5 linked regions of the Oryzias latipes genome follow. The protein of the gene in region 2 purifies or fractionates together with the protein of the main gene of each other region. This does not show direct contact. Links are inferred from orthologs where the notes say so. Each region holds a gene or a part of one and is shown on either strand. Other genes may lie near its edges.

What was found.
Region 1: the proteins of stk25 (region 2) and fgfr1op2 purify together in Homo sapiens (affinity purification with mass spectrometry; 5 studies listed by BioGRID and IntAct, with this or other methods). This does not show direct contact. The link is inferred for Oryzias latipes from reciprocal best matches to the Homo sapiens genes STK25 and FGFR1OP2.
Region 3: the proteins of stk25 (region 2) and slmap purify together in Homo sapiens (affinity purification with mass spectrometry; 5 studies listed by BioGRID and IntAct, with this or other methods). This does not show direct contact. The link is inferred for Oryzias latipes from reciprocal best matches to the Homo sapiens genes STK25 and SLMAP.
Region 4: the proteins of stk25 (region 2) and cttnbp2 purify together in Homo sapiens (affinity purification with mass spectrometry; 3 studies listed by BioGRID and IntAct, with this or other methods). This does not show direct contact. The link is inferred for Oryzias latipes from reciprocal best matches to the Homo sapiens genes STK25 and CTTNBP2.
Region 5: the proteins of stk25 (region 2) and sike1 purify together in Homo sapiens (affinity purification with mass spectrometry; 4 studies listed by BioGRID and IntAct, with this or other methods). This does not show direct contact. The link is inferred for Oryzias latipes from reciprocal best matches to the Homo sapiens genes STK25 and SIKE1.

Annotation. Positions count from the first base shown.
Region 1 is NC_019881.2:3,917,647-3,921,148, reverse strand, and holds the end of fgfr1op2 (FGFR1 oncogene partner 2), read right to left. Parts: intron 1,023-3,502; coding exon 885-1,022; 3' UTR 716-884; downstream 1-715. UniProt on the Homo sapiens protein: May be involved in wound healing pathway.
Region 2 is NC_019875.2:5,718,047-5,720,974, reverse strand, and holds part of stk25 (serine/threonine-protein kinase 25), read right to left. Parts: intron 2,917-2,928; coding exon 2,860-2,916; intron 2,737-2,859; coding exon 2,628-2,736; intron 1,523-2,627; coding exon 1,365-1,522; intron 1,218-1,364; coding exon 1,032-1,217; intron 286-1,031; coding exon 140-285; intron 1-139. UniProt on the Homo sapiens protein: Oxidant stress-activated serine/threonine kinase that may play a role in the response to environmental stress.
Region 3 is NC_019863.2:32,508,727-32,512,648, forward strand, and holds part of slmap (sarcolemmal membrane-associated protein), read right to left. Parts: coding exon 3,850-3,922; intron 3,674-3,849; coding exon 3,602-3,673; intron 3,524-3,601; coding exon 3,383-3,523; intron 3,301-3,382; coding exon 3,163-3,300; intron 3,076-3,162; coding exon 2,907-3,075; intron 2,708-2,906; coding exon 2,657-2,707; intron 1,426-2,656; coding exon 1,303-1,425; intron 1-1,302. UniProt on the Homo sapiens protein: Associates with the striatin-interacting phosphatase and kinase (STRIPAK) core complex, forming the extended (SIKE1:SLMAP)STRIPAK complex.
Region 4 is NC_019864.2:3,391,393-3,395,314, reverse strand, and holds part of cttnbp2 (cortactin-binding protein 2), read left to right. Parts: intron 1-311; coding exon 312-462; intron 463-1,106; coding exon 1,107-1,298; intron 1,299-3,506; coding exon 3,507-3,624; intron 3,625-3,922. UniProt on the Homo sapiens protein: Regulates the dendritic spine distribution of CTTN/cortactin in hippocampal neurons, and thus controls dendritic spinogenesis and dendritic spine maintenance.
Region 5 is NC_019865.2:1,582,252-1,586,625, forward strand, and holds the start of sike1 (suppressor of IKBKE 1), read left to right. Parts: upstream 1-1,328; 5' UTR 1,329-1,599; coding exon 1,600-1,758; intron 1,759-1,881; coding exon 1,882-1,987; intron 1,988-2,060; coding exon 2,061-2,203; intron 2,204-2,301; coding exon 2,302-2,415; intron 2,416-3,153; coding exon 3,154-3,261; 3' UTR 3,262-4,169; intron 4,170-4,374.

The sequences.
Region 1 (3,502 bases), on a different chromosome or scaffold from region 2:
TCCACTTCTGTGCACCTTTCATGCAAATAACCGACCTCAGGGACTTTGTGTTTGGGTCCTCATAACTACATCTACAGAAGAAGAATTTAGTTCACTTTGAATGAAAGACAACAAAGCTGCAATAAAATGAAAGTGCTTGGAGTCCACGTTCAAAGGGATGTTCCTCTTTTCACGAGTCCTAAACTGTCAGGTATCATTTACTTCATTAAAAGTAAAGATGACACGAGGAAGCGAGAGGCAACAGTTTGACTCTTTTCTCACAGCTTCTCTGTTCGGTGTGTGCCTCAGAGCAGGTTGATCTTCAGATGCTGTCTACAGTTTTCAGGTATGAAGCAGAGAGTCCACAATAATTCTATCTGCAGTGACTTCAGATCAAGCAACTCCCCCGCCGTGGTTTGCCACCAAACTTCCACATCACTCTCTTTTCTTCTTTTTGAACCATTCCAGGGGTCTGCTCAGACACAGCAATCCGGGCCCGTTTTGGTGACGCCTACGTGTTTGCTACCTGAATATTTCTGCATTTCAGCGTCTGTGAGCTGAATGCTGCCAGCAGCAGTGAAACAGCATGTTGGGTCACGCCTGCTGTGGTGGATTTCTCTTCCTGTTTTTGGAGCAGATGTGGGCGATAAACATCAATAACACAAGCACTGGAAAGAGAGAGGCAGTTCACCAGAATCAGAACACTGTGAGTCTGTGAGGACGTTCAAAACTCAATCCAAACCACCTGATAATCATTTATTTCATTTCAAGCAACACCTCTCTTCTTCCCGGGTTAGGAGGTACACAGGCACCACAGGCTCATACATGCTGTAACAAAGACATGACGCAATGCATTCTGGGCCGCTGGCTGCTTTGGCAGTAGTGTGGCGGGGTGGGAGCGGACACTAAGTCTTTCGTAGGCTGACGTCGGTGCTGCTCAGCAGCGGCGACAGCGACGTGTTCTCCGACGGCTCCTCCCTCTTCAGGATGAGGAAGGCCTCACGGCTGATCCCCAGCAGCTCTCGGAGGCCACAGTTCTCCATCTGGAACGCACAAACACAACCCACCTCTAAAGTCTCTGAACGGCTACGGCAGACAGAGAGGAGCAAGATTCACACATATGCTTTAAAAAACGTGTTCAATATCAACAGTTTGTCCGATCATGTATAAGCAATCAAATTAAGCCTCCCACAGTGAATTAGGCTCGACATCAACAATTCATTGTCTTTTCCCAAAGCTGACAGTGTTGGGTTCACTTTTAGAACCACTTTTTTATGTTCTATGTCAACGACACGGTCAAAATGTCTCAACAGCTAACTTGCACTTTTATGCTGATGACACGATTATTTCTTGTTGCGGATCATCTCTCTTTTGAGGTCATAAAAATTAGGGATGGGCGATATAATTTTTTTTACGTCCGATACCGATAACCCGTATTTCCCCTACAACTGTGTGGCTGATAGCCGATATTTGCCGATACCGATACTTAAGTGTCCACAGGTGTGGCTCTCAAACTGTGGAGCGCACCTCCATGGGGGGGGTGCGAGTCACTGGGTGGGACAAGGCTGGGAAGTGGGGAGGACGACTAATGTTTGGACATCGGAATTTTTTTCGCAGCGGAACACAAACAAACCGCGGTTCGGGACTGCATATCCGCGGGTGTCACGTCACTTACATCGAGCTGATCCTAACCGTGACATTTGAAGACGTAATTATGGTTGTCAACTGCGGTTTAACATCTTAAAATAACGCTAATGCCGCCTGGACGTTGACGCATTTAGCACATGCGACCGGTACAGATTGGAAACTGTGATTTGTTGAAGAATGGAGAAAAGCATGTATAATGGCTAATGCCTCCGCGCCCCCCAAGGGAGGCGTGTCCTACAGTTTGAGAACATACAAAATCAATGATCCTTTATTTAATTTATTAAGGATCATTCACTTGTACACGTCTTCCCTGCGAGGATTCTTTCTCAAATGTTTCTTAGACAACAGTTCTCAATACGACTGGCTGATAGATCCAGCTGCTGATGCGAGCTCTGCTGAGGAGGATCAGTCCATTGAAATCCCGTCAGACTCCACCCTGAAGATGAGGTTTACAGCACAGACACCCCCTGAATCCTGCTGGGTGTAGAGAGAGGGAGCATTCACTCAAAGGGCAAAAGGCTGGGGGCATTCTGCTTCCATTTTACGTTCCATTTTCTGCTGTTACCACTTTGAAAACAAAGCACAGAGCTAGGCTCAATAATGAGCAGGACTTGAGAGTTGCTGCAGTAACAAACCTGCAACCTTGTTTTGAAAAGATGTGTAGCACGAAGCAGGCACATTGCAGCCATTTACACAACTTTGTGTTTCTTTTTGCACATAGGTTCAAATGTTATTAAAAAACAGTCAGGAGATCATGGTAGATTTTGAATATCTGAAATGCAAATTATGCAAATATTGTGCAATACAGATACAGGAACCAATTTATCGCCCATCCCTAACAGGAACCCTGATGGAAACTTTTGAACGTGCAACTCCTGCGGCCTGGAAAATCTGACAAAAAAGTTGGAGACTAATTGAACTACCATTAAATGTCTTTAAGGCCAAACCAACAGAGAATTGCACAGATTACTGTGACCGTCTTGATCACAGTTTTCACTCATTTATAATTCAGTTTTATCTGTCATTTTTTACATTTTTTAAGCATTTTTTCTAGTGGTGTCAAATTATTATGTTAATTGCGATTAATAAATTACAAACTTTCTTGCCTTTTTTATTTGTCTCTATTTTTATCGGGTTAATCTTTTTTTTTTTTTTTTTTTTTTTTTTGCGTTGGATGGTTACTTCCTTAAAGTCTGGCCATGCCTGAAAATGTACACCTTGAAGAGCATTGTCCCGCTTATACCATGCTCACTCACAAAAACATAAAGATTAAGTATCAGAACTTCAATCATGTCATATTTTAAAGTTTAAATTGTTTTTAACGAAAAGAGGAACAAAGCATCATTTCAGAGGGAAAGCTCACCTCTAAATGTTGGATTTTGTTCAGATGAAGCTAAACTTTAAAGGTTGTCTTCTCTCTTTGTCTTCAAAATGATCAAATTCCTCAAACAGGTCAAAGGAAACTATCAAATCCCACCAGGGCTCCAGACTGCGACCAAAATTTGAGAGTGTGCGACTGAATTTTACATCCAGTCGCACATGTGCTACCAGTAAATTTGCCTCCCCCACCCTCCGTATTTTTTTATACATTAAACGTGGAAGGGGCACGTCAATGATCAATGAAATAATCAATGATACGCGAGCGCACACGCACGCAGGCAGACACACACACTCGTGCACATATTCATGAAACGCAAGCACACACTCGCGTGATGCCTGTCTGTGAGGCGGCGAATGCGTGTTAGAAGAATAGGGAAAGCCACTGTGAGTGGCTAAAATGCGTGTAGGGGAGGGGCCTAGAGATAATCGCGCGCGCGTAAACATCTGTGGGAAGGAAACGGAGACAAATATCATCACAACCTGATATGTGCGTCTG
Region 2 (2,928 bases):
ACTCCAGACACAGAAATCCCAGCTCTGTTGTCACTCAGGGAAGCAATCGTGCACATGCAGCAGAACCCTCTTTGGTTCAGCGCCGGAGCATCTGCACGCTCTGCCATGCTGCTGATGAAGAGAGAAATTTGAAACGGACATGTCCGAGTCGTCTGAGCTGGACTCCTCTCCGTGTCCCTCCGACTTCCAGCGGCGGTACCGGTCTATCAGCTCCGTCAGATAAGCCGTCTTCTTGGTGTAGCGAGTGATGAACTTGTGCTTCAGCAGCTCCTTCGCGGTGGGCCTCTGTGAAGAGCCAGAACACCGACAGAACCGGGTCAGCACACAAGAACCCTGCAGCTGGGTTTTCCTTAAGATCAGACGCGCATGGTCCTCATGAGGAGTTATACCACGGTCCGGGTGAATCCTCGATTCTGATTGGCTGCTGGGTGTGCATTAAAAACTGTTAATGTACGCCTAAAAAAGAAGTTCCGGTCACAAAGCTTAGATGTTCTGTATCACTGCGCTGGCTTTAAAACAACCTTCATCTTCATCATTTGGACAAAAACAAGCGGTAAGAGGTGAACTTTCTCTCTGAACTGATGCTTTATTCAACCCATCGTGACGATCAGCATATTTATCACTTTCCTTTGCGGCTGCAGTCGAGGTTGGTGCCGTCATGTTACCATGACGACCCGCCGCACCACCTAACAAATAGTCCGCTTTTTGTGAAAAAAAGTGATCTAGACTGAAAAAATAACAAGATTAAAGGACTAAAAACTGGTTGAATATTTATTTCTTTTGAAAGTGACCAAGGTATAAGCGACACACTTTACTGTCCAGACTTCCTCGGCGTGCGTTAAATTCAGATTATGCACACTTGAAGGCCATTCTCCCTCATTTACCAAATGTCTCTCTTTTCCTCCTACATGACTTGGATTCATACATAAATGATCCGTTTTTTCTGCTGATGGTTTAAAACAACAAACAAGGTTTCACTAGAGCGCCATCACATGACAGAAGGTTGGAGGTGAAAATGCAGCTTCACTCACAAAACGGGGATCCTTGTTTAAACAGGCCTCCACAAACTCTTTAAACGGTTTGCTGTACGGCCCTTCCAACGTGGGAGGAGTGTTTTTAGGGATGAGGAACAGGACCCTCATGGGATGTAGGTCAGAGTTGGGGGGTTCCCCCTTGGCCAACTCGATGGCAGTGATTCCCAGAGACCAGATGTCCGCCTGAGTGTAAGGAAAGGTGAACCAAATGAAGCTTTTCCAAACAGAAATGAATTCAATGGCTGTTTCAAAAGCTCAGCATTCCTGCGCCCCCTCCCAGACAGGTCAGCACCACAGACGCTCTTCAGCTCTGGAACAGACTTCCCTCACCTTAAAGTCGTAGGCCGACTGCTTGATGACCTCTGGAGCCATCCAGAACGGCGTGCCCACAAACGTGTTCCTCTTGATCTGCGTGTCCGTCAGCTGTCCCGCCACGCCGAAGTCTGCCAGCTTCACGTCGCCTTGCTCTGACAGGAGCACGTTGGCAGCTAGGAGACAGACGTCAGTCACTGCCGTGTCCACTAACTAGCTAGAAAGACCTGCAGCCTCGGGTCAGGACGGCTAAAGAGGCACAACTAGAGGGTCACATCAATTGGAAGACAAAAAGTCAACACTTCAAAACAGGCTTAAGCATGATTCAAGTCTAAAAATATTGAACATTTGAAAAGAAATGTTTTTTTTTAATTTTGAACCTTCAATTTAAAAAACAAAACTTTAAAGCTTAAACTGTTACTAAATGAAAAATATTGTTTATTCATAACAGCTGCTGTTGTTTTTGTTTTCTTTTTTTATTCTTTAATTTCCGTTTTACGTTTAGAGTTTGAATTCAGACGTTCAGTCTTTTCTGCTGAACCTGAGTTAAGGAAGCTCATTGGCTGTCGTGACATGATTCCCATCAGCTGAAAGCGCTTCTGGTGCTTTCAGCTCTAAACTGGAACTACAAACTTTATAAAGAATATTTTTCATTTGGTAATAATTAAAAGTTTTTTTATTCGAGTTTCAAATCTTCCATTTTTCCCCCTCAAACTTTCAATCATTCTGGCACAGCGAGAGGGGGCGGTGCCAGAGGGCGGAGCTGTCAGAGGGGGCGGTGTCAGAGGGGGTGGTGCCAGAGGTTTTTATGTAGTTTTATGTATTATTTTAGTAGTAAGTTGTTTACATTTTTTTTTAATGGATGAATGTTGCACTGACCAGAAGGCACTTTTAATTTCATTGTATGTATGACTTTGACAAATAAAGATCCATCCATCCATCCATCCATCCTGGTGTTCTTGTGACTCTGATCTGTGTGTAGGTGTGGTTTTGAGTGTGTGTATCAAGCGATTGGAGCGTACCATTTAAGGGTTTTTTTATGTTTGGGAGACTTTTTGAATTTGTACTTAGTCTGAAGTTGATGTCATTTCAAGCTGTGCCTGCGTAAACTGTATTTTGGATTTGAACGTTTTTGATATTCGTTTACAACAGCAAGTACCCTCAGTTAAAGACAAAATGGATGGGTTACAAATCCAGAACCAGCACACACATTGGGTGAGTCCATTTCCCCTCCTGACAAGTTTCCTGGGTGAAGATTCTCTAAGTGGTCTTCCGTTTTACCTTTGATGTCTCTGTGAATCTTCCTCTCGGAGTGCAGATACTCCAGCCCCTTCAGGATTTCCCGCAGTATGGTAGCGATGTACGTCTCCTCCAGAGGTCCTGGGCGGAGCTACGATGACGGCGGGTAAACCAAGACATCAGAAGTAGGGCGAGAGAACCGGCAGGCTCTAAAAGTAAGCAAGGCGGCGTCTTGTGTAATTTGTAATCTCCATAAAAATGGAAATCTTCTTACCAGATCCAGAGCAGATCCTCCACCTAAATACTCCATGATAATCCACAGCTTGGTCCCCTGGGGGGTGGG
Region 3 (3,922 bases), on a different chromosome or scaffold from region 2:
TTAGTCTTATTTCCTCCTCTGGTTCCTTCCAATGTGGTGAAGCTTAAAGCTGGACGTCCATAAATCAAGCAGACAAACCAGGTTTCCTTGATTTGGATCAGCAGAATCAAAAAGCTGCGTTTGCTCCTAACTTAACGTCCGGTAAGAAGACGGCAGGGAAGGCCTGAGACGGACACAGAGGAAGCAGGCAGACGTGTCACAGACCAGAACAACAGGACAGGTGAAGGATGGAGTCAAACACGCTGCTATGCAACACCCCACCAAGCATCAGCAGGTGAGAAACAGCAGCAAGATGGAGACGGAACAACATCAGAGCCGAAGGAAACTCAAACTGCACCAGATCTCAGAGCTGCTGCACCCAATGAGTGAACGGAAGATGCTGACGGGAAGATGATGTTGCAGACGGCACAATAAAACGGGTTAGAAATGACAACTGTGAGAGAGTAAAGCTCCTAACCCGAGAAGAAACTGAGACCCAACATGGACTTCATTCCAAAGCAGGACTAGATTGATGTGAAAGCTGAAATGGAAAAACCCAGGAGCTGAAGGAGCCGTTGGTGTTCTCCTAAACCTTGAGATGGAAACTGACCGAACAACAAACTGCAGCAGATGATGCTCAGAAAACGAGCGATCCACATTTGTAAAGATTTTGGACCAAACCTTCAAAGATGCCGCAGCACAAAGTTTTAAACCAGCATCGGACGAAGGACAATTACGAGGTTTCATTCAAGCTGATCTAAAGATCAACAACAGACGGATGAGACTCGACAGCGGCGGAGAGAAGACACCAAACCTTCTCGGGTCAGAGGTCGGTTCATGGTGTAGAGAAACATCTACAAACCCGCTCTCCCTTTCCAACATTGGTTTGAACCTGAAGAAACATCAGTGAACTCTCCTCCAGGACGCATGTGAGGAGACTGCAGCGGCTGCAGCGGCGCAGACCGCATCGCGAGTGTGTGAGGCGGCTGAAAGCAGGTTCAGCCACACACACACAGAGTTTCCAGTCGAGACGCTGCGTTTACGTCTCATTTCACCAGAGACAGCTCAGAACGTGGGACACTGATGCGTGAAGCAGGCCACAGCGCTGCAGACCAGTTATCTGGAGACGTGCTCCTCAGACGGACCAGAAAAGTGGCTCCCAGATGGATCTGGATCCAGCATTTCAGTTCTTGCACATGTCCTGATCGAGGAAGACCTGGTCTCAGGCCAGACGCGTTCTGAGGTTTCAGCTCTGCATCGAACAAACATTTGATCGTCTGTCTTTGGGAAGAAGAAATTAAGGAAACAGTTGAGATAGACTACCAATAACATCTTCATCTTCGTGAACTGCCCCCTCCTCGGTGTCTGTATCCGGCTCATCGTGGTCTTCGTCCGCTAGGTCTTCCACGGGCTCCCCTGCAGCTCCGGGAGGGACGAGGGCCACCTCTGTCATGTGACCAGATCAGATATACACATGGAACCTTCATCAGCCAGACATGCAGAAGACAGACTGTGAAGCCCGTTGATGAAGAAGAGCGAGACCTTCAGGACTCCTTTAGTGCAGAAATCAGTGTCCTCAAGCTCCTCCCCCCGGAAAAAGGAACCAAAGCAGTGATCGGTTTGGAAAAGCTCTGAATTAACCAAGAAGCCCAAAATTCACCTGACAGAACCGCCAGAACAAAGCCCAGAAAAACACACCAGCTCCTTATGAAACCAGACGGGTCCAGGTCAGAACCAGGACCTGCAGCTAGCATCCTAGCATCCTAGCATAGCGCATAGCGATGCGACTGGGCGTTCCACAGAGAACCCACAGTCATTCTAACAGACAGGAACACGAAGCAGGAACTCATGAAGGAATGAAATCCACCTCAGGAGTGATCATTTTCTGTGTTTACGTCCGTTTTTCTGGAGCACAGAGGACATTTTTACTCTTTTAAATGTAAAATTAAAGGATTTTTGATGTTTTTATGGACTTTATTGCTTTAAGACTTCTGTCACAACACCCAGAGCCAGAAGAACAAAGTTAAAGAGAAAACTATAAAATCTCTTATGCTTTGGGTAAATTGACCCATTTTGAAAGGAAAAACAAACAATTGTTACACTTTGAATCTATTCCAGTTTGTCATATTTAAGGTGACGTCAGCATTTTATAAAATACAATGGTTCAGTTACTGCCTTTGTAATTGAGACAGAAACAAACATCAGTTTGTCACAACAGGAGGTTTAAGTGTAACGCTAATAGACCAACGATTAAATGAATTAAACTAAGTACATAAAACATCTAAATTAGATAATATAGAGTGGAAACTGTTGGGTCGCTTCACCGTCAGCAGCAGCTCTAGTGCAGGTATTTCTGATGCAGGTCATTCAGGAGGAAATAGATAAACTTTCCCTCAGCTGGATTCACATTGTGTGACATTTCCGCCTTAAACTACAAGTTAATTAGGTAATTAAAATGGAAAAAAATCTTTTTGCGTTTATGGACAACAATACAATGTTGTGTGAATGAGTCAACCACTGAAAGATCATAAAAAAAACTCAACGAGGAGAAAAGAGCGACAGCAGGAAGTGCACAGACAGACCATGCAGGACGTTTCATGCATCGTTAGTGCAGCTCAGGCTGATTAACCCCACAGACACAGCAGTCCCAGAGCGGACCAGCGGGACGTGGACTCACCCAGACTGTTGTTTTCTTTACCGCTTTTCTCCTGCAGCTGCTCTAACCGCGCTGTAAACAACAACAACAACAACAGCAGAAAGAGAACGTTCAGCTGGACCTGCAGCAGCTCCAGTCGGCCTTCTGCGAGGAACCGACAGCTGAGGTGGAACCGAACAAAGGCGTCGGCTCGGTCCTCCGTTTATATGCAATGAAGCAGCAGTGGAAGGCTTCAGGGAGCAAACGGCGTTTAGACGTGACCCAGACGTACCCTGAAGAGCAGCAAGTCTCTCGTTGGTGAAGTCGTTGTCTGCCTGCAGAGCTTCGATGCGAGCCTGGAGAACCTGCTCCTTCTCCTCCATCTCCTCTATCTTCATTTCCAGCTCCCTCTTCTCCGTCTCTCCTCGTTGGGTCAGCTCCTCCTGCCGGCCCTCCGCCACCTAAAGGAAAGAAGACGATCGGGTGTTACTGCACAAATGTAGAGGGGCGGGAATCGAACCTTTCAGAGTAAACGCACAAGGCCTCACCTTGATTTTGTCGGTGAGCTCTTTTATTTCGTTGACAGCGGCGTTGTACTTATTGGCGAGCTCCCTCAGCTCCTCCTGACCCCTCTCAGACATCTCCTTCAGGTGGGTGCACTCATCTTCCGTGTTGCTGAGCGAGCGCTGCAGAGGAGATCACGCGTTGGGTTCACCGGTACTGAATCCATCAGCCTGAAGGGACAAACAACTCCTCAAAGGGTCCCACCTCCACTTCGGAGAGCTTCCTGACCACCTCGATCTTCTCCTGCAGGACTCTCCTCAGAGACTCCTTGGCCGTCGTCTCATAGTTGTGTTTGTCCTCCTGAAGAGCCAAAAGCTCTTTCCGCATCCCCTCCTCCGTCTGGGACTGCAGGAGTTCCAGACATGAATGAGAACTTCTGTGCCTCACCTTTTTACAGAGGAGAACCTGAGAAGGTGACTTTACCTTGGAGTAGGCCTGTAGCTGACTCCCCATCACCTCCAGTCTGGAAAGCAGACGGTCCTCATCTATCAGAGCCTGAAGGAGACCAGAGTCACGTTAGTCATAATTCAGATCTTCAAATTCTATCCAAAGCTTCAGTTTCTCCATGAGTATAAGCCCCATGGCCACCGTTATCTCCTGCTAACATCTGCAGTGAACCCCTCAGCGCAGGTCTACAAATGTTCAGGACAACAGAAGACGAGGTCTCCTACCTGCCAGCTGCTCTCGGAGGCCTCCTGGGTGTTGGCTAACAGACGCTGCAGCGTGGCTAACTTCTGCTCCAGC
Region 4 (3,922 bases), on a different chromosome or scaffold from region 2:
TCATTTTAATTTCATCCAGTAACCAAAGTAAAGTAATCAATTACTTTTTTTTAAAGTAATTTACCCAATACTGCAATCAAGAAACTGACTCCTTTTACCAAAAACAAGTAAATACAACCTTTGATTTACGTTCATGCTAGTCCTTTCCCACTCTGGCGTGATGCAGTCAACCACAAAATGCAAAGCATACATGCTGCTTCTCTCTGTGTTACATGTGGGCAGTACAGTAGCCCAGTCAGATACACAAAACCCAGAAAGGAGAGGTTTAGTGAGCTGTCCTCCCTGTGGCGTTCCTCCCTCCCTCCCTCCAGCTGTGTGGAGGAGCTGCTGGCTGCAGGAGCTGCCGTGGACTCCGTTGCTGCTGACGGACAGACCTCCCTCTTTGTGGCCTGTGAGGCAGGATGGCTTGATTGCGCCCGAGCCTTGCTGGACGCCGGAGCTGACCGCTCATTGACTACCACGGTAAGGCTGACTCTGACGTTACTGCAGTGTTAAGAGCACAACTGCTAAATGTTATTTATCCAGACAATCAAAAACATGTCACTTCCTGTGGTCATCAGCTTTTCTCCTCTTTGTTTTTTTTTAACAGTATCTAAAACTTCTCATTCATTCAATCAATCAATCAATGAAAAAGTCTTTAAACGGTTTGAGATTTTTTTTTGGCATATTTTTACATTTTATTAAAAATCGTAACACTTTTATTTCGCCAACATGTAGTAATCAGAGGCAAATATTTCCAAAAGTTTATTCTTTTCGATACAATTTGTTGGTAGTGCATTCTATGTTTTATGTGTAAAACTAGTTTGAGCATCCACTTAGTGTAAACTCTCCAAAATCTCCAGAATGTGCTTGAATGTTTCAGTACAAATCTGGCTTAAATAGATCAAAGAATGAAGAAGTTAATCTGCCAAACAAGTGTAGGGGAGTAAGAACGGGATGTCAGTTGTGTGAGGGCTTTAGAGCCTTCACACTATAATTCTTTATTGTAAACTAAAAACATGTTTTTTCTTGCTTCTCATAGGCAGAAGTTTAAACATGAAGACATATTAGTTTAAATTGGATTCAAAAGAAGTGACTTGTAATCCTGACGTCGCTTGCGTTTGAAGGATGGCTGCACGCCCCTGCACGCTGCCGTGCGCTCCGGACACGTAGAAGTGCTGCGTCTCCTCCTCTGCCACAGAGATCCAAGCGACCCTTCTGCCTCGCCCCATTTCCTGGCTCTTCCTGCTTCGCTGCTGAACCAGGCCAACAGGGACGGCTGGACCGCTGCACACATGGCTGCTGTGCTGGGCCTGAAGGTAAAAATAGAAAAACATTTAGCATGCTGTTCCCTCGCTGATGCAGAGTTTCTAAGCCCTTTGTGGAGATAATTCTGGTTCCTCTTATTTATATTACACTTGAAGAATTCTGACTTCTCACAGATGTTTTTTTCTGGTAAAATGCAAGATTTGTCACATTTCAGAAAATATGACAAGAAAGCAACTGAAGGCCTTGCATGCATAAACATACCTAAACACATGTGTACATCTATGTTCCCCCAAACAGTGATTCATGATTTTTCTGATAAAAAGATAATCTGCAAATATTTTAAACTTTTGATACTTGATCTGCATTTGCTATAAAGATTTCTGAAACAGTGTTATTTTTATCTGATATAATGTCATTTTTAATCATATTTATGACTTTTCTAATGAAAATAATCTGAATATATTTGAGATATCTGATCTGCATGTTCTATGTTGATTTCCAAAATGGAGTTTTGTCTATTTTACAGAATTATATGGTACTTCCTCTTTGTCATGTGATTTATTGAAACTGAAGTATTCGTGATGACCTAAAACTGTATTGGTAAGGCATAGATGTCTGATAAAATGTTATGAACCAGATCATAATAAATCGTGTAATGAAAATGGTTACAGTAGAACGGGTTGGGATTATATAAATTTGCTTTCTTCCACTCCCTTTCAAGCAATCTTTGATGTAATGTCTAATTATCCTACGTTTGATACGTCTTTGTATGAATGTATAACTGCTGATTGTATTGTTTTGTGCATTATTCTTGCTTTGATTGCTTGAAATTAACCATTTGAAATCCAATCAAAATAAGTTTATAATGATGCACAAGTAACTGTTATTGTCATTGACTGCATAAGAGAGCTGGACTGAGTCCCCCATAGAAAATGCTCCATTCAGTTGCCATTTTTACCCGATACGAAGTCAATGCTTCTATGGCAACCGCTCTCACCAATCAGGAGTAAGCTTGTTGGAAGTTCACAGTCCTACCACTGGAAGCAAGCTACACAAAATCTCTCCTTTTCGAACCACCGACGTGAGATCATGAAGTAATATTTGTTCCAGCACAAAGAGAACTTTGTATCAGTTCTTCTCCACCAGGATTCTGTGGTCTTCAGCTGTTCTGGCCCGTTTCTGTCTTAGTCGTACCCAAAAGGAGCAGCAAAGCCAAAAAAATCCAGCACTGCTCTGTATTTATGTTAGTGTAGCGACCAGTGTGTTGAGAAGTTGTCCCTGTGGTATCTGACATGGTTGAGGGCTACAGCAACCGTTCAAATCTTCATCAGAAGTTCCGAGCCAGGAAAGGCCGTCGCTGACTCTTGTCGCTTCTGACCGGACATTACGTTATCTTACTATTATGATTTGCAATGTTTTGGATGTTTGCTTTTACTTCTTTGGCTTTGCTGCTCCTTCTGGGTTCTACTCAGAGAAAAACAGGCCAGAACGGTTGAGGACTGCAGATGCTGCGCTAACAGAACCGATGCAAAGTCCGTGTCTGCCTCCAAGCACCGTTAATGCGAGGCAAAGACACTTGAATGGATTGAATCTAAACCGATCAGCATGAACCCTCTTGTCTGTGATTGTCTGTTTGGTGGCACAAACATCACACTTATGATGCAGAGTTGAGAAAGCAAAGTAAAGATGGAGAGAGAGCGAGATTCGACATAAGGCGTCTGACAACAGCTGTGTCACAAATGCATTTTCAAAACAAATAGAACTATTTTGAAAGTCAACTTTTAATATTTCAATTTTCTTACAAAATTTTGATTTTAAAGCTGAACATTTTGTTTAAAATTTAGGAAATTTGATTTAAAAAGTGTGACTTTTGTTCTCATTGTGACGGCATAAACATTACTTTAAATGAGACATCTTAGGCATCTGATTGGTCACTTTATAACTTTAATAACCTACAATGAAAGATAAAAATCATGAAAAAAAAGAGGATTTCCAAGAACATGTTAAGAAAGGTATCAGATCAAGAATGTTTTGTCTGACCAACACAATTAGGAACAGCTGTTTATTTCTCTGTAGAAGTCTATGGGATTTTAGCTTCCTGAAGCCAGCAGGTACTTCCTGTTTGGAAACCCAGGGGTAGGGGTCACTCAGTCCATATCCATCTACAGTCGATGGTTATTCTTCACACTGTTTCTCGTCTTTTACCTGCTGTATTTTTCTCCTTGAGTTGTTCTGACCTTGTGTGGTAATGTGTCCAGGACTGTCTGGAGGTGCTGTGTAGCCACAGTGATCAAGACATTGAGAGAAAGGATATGTGCAACCGCACAATTCATGATGTGGCAACTGACGACTGCAAAGATCTGCTTGAAAATCTGCGTAAGTCACATTCACACGGATGACAGACACGTTGTGTGTTATTTCGTTTTTTCCTGAATTGTGAATTTTGTCGCACAAAGATGAAAACGCTGACAGACCATCATAAAACTGAATACGACATCACTAAGTGTTTCACGATGACTAAAACCTTTTTAAAGCAAGCAGTGATGTCTGAAATCTCTCCCTGTGCAGGAAACTTGCATGCAATCATGATGCCTGTGAGGAACGCAGGTAAAGCAGGTTAGGAGTCGGTTGCTGTGTTGCTTTTCTGAATCAAAGCTTTCGAAACACACTCAGG
Region 5 (4,374 bases), on a different chromosome or scaffold from region 2:
AGGGCTAAGAGGACATCCCTGCCATATTCCTCTGTTTGTGTCAAATCTAGGAGTTGTGCCATGTGCAACTTTAATGGAGCTGTTGCATCCATTGTACAGACCCTCCATCACTTTTAAAAATCTTTTACCAAATCCAAATTCTTTTATAACTGGAGTCATAAAACTGTGACTAATTATGTCAAATGCCTCGTAAAAGTCAACAAATAAGATAAAACCATCATCTCTAATATGTTCATTATAATCAATCATTTCTACTATTAATCTGGGAGCCGGTTTAGCTCGTGTTTGCGGCGCCTTCTGTCCGTGAAACCAGGGTTCGACTCCAGGCTGCTCCCTGCTCCCTTCTCTACCTCTGTGCCGGTCCTAAGCCCAGTTTGAGAAGGTTGCGTCAGGAAGGGCATCCGGCATAAAAACGTTGCCAAATTTACCACGCCCTGTTTACCACGCGTTCGCTGTGGCGACCCCTGATGGGAGAAGCCGAAAGAGGAAGAAGATATCTAGTATTAATCTGATATTGTTGGCAATATTTCTACCAGGCATGAAAGCAGATCATTCTTCTTCAATAATGTTATCCAGTCCTGGTTTTAATCTTTTGGTAAAAATGAGAGCAAATATTTTAGCATCATTGTTTAACAGACTAATTGGTCTCCAGTTTTCTATGCATAATTTATCTTTTTGTGGTTTGGGGATGAGTTTGATGATGCCTTGTCTGAGAGTTGGGGGCAATATACCAATTTCTAACACTTCTTCAAATAAATTAGCTAGAAAAGAGGTTAATTTGGCAATAAAACATTTATAAAACTCACTTGTTAGTCCTTCATTTGCTGGACTTTTATTATCTTTAAGAGATTTACTACAATTTTCAACTTCCTCTGTTTTAATTTTCTGGTCACAAGACTTTTCAAAGGTTTCAATTACTTTTCCAATCTTTTCTTTAATATTGTTGATAAATAGTTCAATATCTTCTTCTCTAAAGCAAATTTTAGTGTAAGTTTCCTGATAGAATTTTGCAACATATTGAGAAACCTTTTTTGTATCTTCACTTATTGAATTACCAATTTTAATTTGACGCAGACAGGAAATTTCAAAATCTCTTTGTTCTCAGTTGAAAAAGTATTTAGTACATTTTTCACCTTGTTCTAACCATTTTCTTCTGGATCTAACAAAGGCTTCTCCTGCTTTTTCTTCATATACTTTATTCGATTCTGATTGCAAAGAAATTAGTACGTTTTGTTGTAGATTAATTCGTTTTCATTGATAATCATTATTTTTCCTTATCATTATTGTCTTTGAATGCATCATAAGAGGGGGCGGGGAAAACGCGGAAGTGACGTCATCATTGATCGCAGTGTATCGTCTGCTTGACGGATAGGTGGGGGTACTTTTAAAGCGTTTGTTTGCTGTTTTGACCGTTTTCTCCATACCGTGTGAAAACAGTGCAGGCGTTAGGCGGGAAAGTTCCCGCAAGGCTTGTGCTCGGAAGCGCCGCGGTTACGCGCCGAGCTCGAGCCAACTTAGTTGGAGGGAGTTTCGCTGGAACCGCGCTCGTGAAGCAGGGGCTCGATCGCGTCGCCCCGCGGACCTGACGCTTTCCAGTAAATGGCCTGCACTTTGGAGAAAGTGTTGGGCGACGCTCGGACCCTCCTCGAGAGGCTGAAGGAGCACGACACGGCCGCCGAGGGTCTGATCGAGCAGTCCGGGGCCCTCAGCCGCAGAGTGCAGGACATGAAGGAGGTGGGAAATGCCCTTCCGGAGAAGGTAAAGACTCGGCGGATGAGACGTTCAGGTGCTGGGCGGCCATAGCTGCTGAAAATACCAGTGGGATTTTTTAATGGATAACTTTTGCTAGTAAATAACATGTTAGTACATTTTGTTTGACAGCACTTGGAAGACAATGCAGAACTACGGGAGCTCACAAAGTACAAACCTCATGTTCTTCTGACCCAAGAAAACACTCAAATCAAGGATCTGCAGCAGGAGAACAAAGGTAGGATTCTGTTCGGGCGGTTTCCACGGTGGGTCGTGTTTGTTCTAACCCTCTGGGTGGACTTTCTCCTCAGAATTATGGCTGTCTCTTGAAGAACACCAGTACGCTCTGGAACTCATCATGGGTCGGTACCGCAAGCAGATGCTGCAGCTGATGATGGCAAAGAAGGAGCTGGACACCAAACCGGTTCTGAGCCTCCACCAGGATTACGCCAAAGTACAGCGTCTTTCACACCATCTTTGTGCAGCGTGACATCGTCTCTTTGAGGGCCGGCTTTGGGAGAAAACTCGTGGCGTTTTTACTTGTCTCTACAGGAAGTGCAGAACAAGGTGGAGCAGATATGCGAGATGGGTCAGGTGATGAGAAGAGCCGTTCAGGTGGACGATCAGCACTACTGCTCCGTTCGAGAGAGGCTGGCTCAGCTGGAGGTGAGTACCGACGATCGAGCCTCTTTCCCCAAGAGGTCAGAGGTCATTTCTTCCCCCTAAAGCAGTATTAAAAGCAGCAGAGGGGACGGAGGAGGGCCCACGAAAACCTTCACAACAGCAGACGTTTGTCACAAGAACCAAAGATCTGAGAAGGAACTCCTTTTGTTTTGGTCCATCCATCCATTTCACCTCCAGATCTGACTTCACTGCGTCACTTAAAACTTACAGAAACCTTTTTTTTTCTCTTAAAAACTTCCAGAGATAAAGTTGTAGCCTGAAGGTTTTGAACGAAATGTCTTTTTCTAAAAAACAGGAAGCTGTCCAGTAAAACATTCTAAAGATCACATATTTGTTTGATTCTTGCAGCTTTATTGCATAAATGTTCTTTTTTCCTATAAAATCATTTTATATACATTAAAAAAACTAAGAATGATGAAAACTGCTGTGTTTAGGCAACTCAGTCCCAGGTTGGCGTTTTTAACAAGACTTTGGTTTTTTTCAAATGTTCTATGTAAAATACTTTAATACAGAGAATGTAGGCATTTGTCTTTATTTCATACTCTTCTTTTATCTAGAACAACAAACAATATAGGCAGTACAACATTTTAATTGTGAAAGACGTGTAAATCTTATCACATGTACACATTTAAATCTTTTGTTTTAGTGAAGAAGAAAAGTAGTAGATGGAGTCCGTTGGGAGGAAAGTATTCAGTCTCTTGGTTTTTTTCTCTCTTTCAGATTGAGAACAAGGAGCTTCAGGACCTTTTGGTCATCAGCAAAGAAAGCATCAAAATGTCAAAAAAAGAAGAACCCCACCAGCCTGAAGCAGCAGAACCGACTTCATGAGCTCCATCGAGCTCTGCGTGTGAATTTATTCCCTCAAATGGATTTATTTATAGAAAGTCATACGGCATCTTTAATACAAAAAAAAGATCTATCATCTTGTCTGCAGCTAAGATAATAATTAAAGTGTTACTGTGGACGGCATTCAATTAGCTGTTCTTTGAGGTGTATTTATTAGATTCTAACACGTGCTGTCAAAGTAGATTTAAAGTATTTTTTTGCCAAAGATATATATTTAATCGTCATAGTTTTTTTGGACCCCTGATGTTCACACAATCTCTACTGCCTCCTATTAAAGCCAAGCACCGCTCTGTTTCACAACAGAGAGGACCTTTGGGGAAAACAAGCAGTTTATTCTGATTATATTTACCTGTTTGTTTGAATGAACAGAAGTTTGGTTTGTGCTGTTGCATTTTGTGCAGTAGGTGTTTTTTAATTTTTTTGTATGAATGAAAAACGTTCTGTTTTCATCTCAGGAATTCAGTTTAACTTCATGGTTTGGTGTAAAACAAAATCAAACGATAATAATAAAAGAAGTGTTTTTCCAAGGCATTTGAGGTGTTGTCCCTTCTTCGAACGCAGGGCGGCAGCATCGAGTCAACTTACTAAAAACCTATCGCGAGATCGGAAAAAGTACAGCGCAAACGCTTTTAGGCTATTAAAAACCTATCAAATCACCTTTTCACGCAACTTTCATAATTTCCATTAGTTTGGTTGTAACAATATTTGTCACATTTAAGTGACATTTTAAAAAGACAATCGTCAGAAAGCTCGGATTTCCCACAGAACCTAAACGCCGCATGAGCCCTATATTTGACAGTTGTCGTTTTAAGCTAACGGATCCAGAATGTCTGAAAGGGAACTGGGGAGGAAGCTGGACCGATGCCTGGCAGATGGTGTCATTAAACTGGGTAAATAGAGTCGTGTTTGTCCGGTTTTGTCAACCTGAAAACGAAAAACAAATATTTTGGACTTTGTCATTGATGGGGAGCGAAGCTAACTAGCTAGCCACAAGGGCTCAGGGAGGACAGCTACGTCATCAGCGGCGGCTTTTATTAGACTTTTCTTTAACTGCAGATCTCACTATCTTTTTTATTACTCTACAGTTTGAAGTAT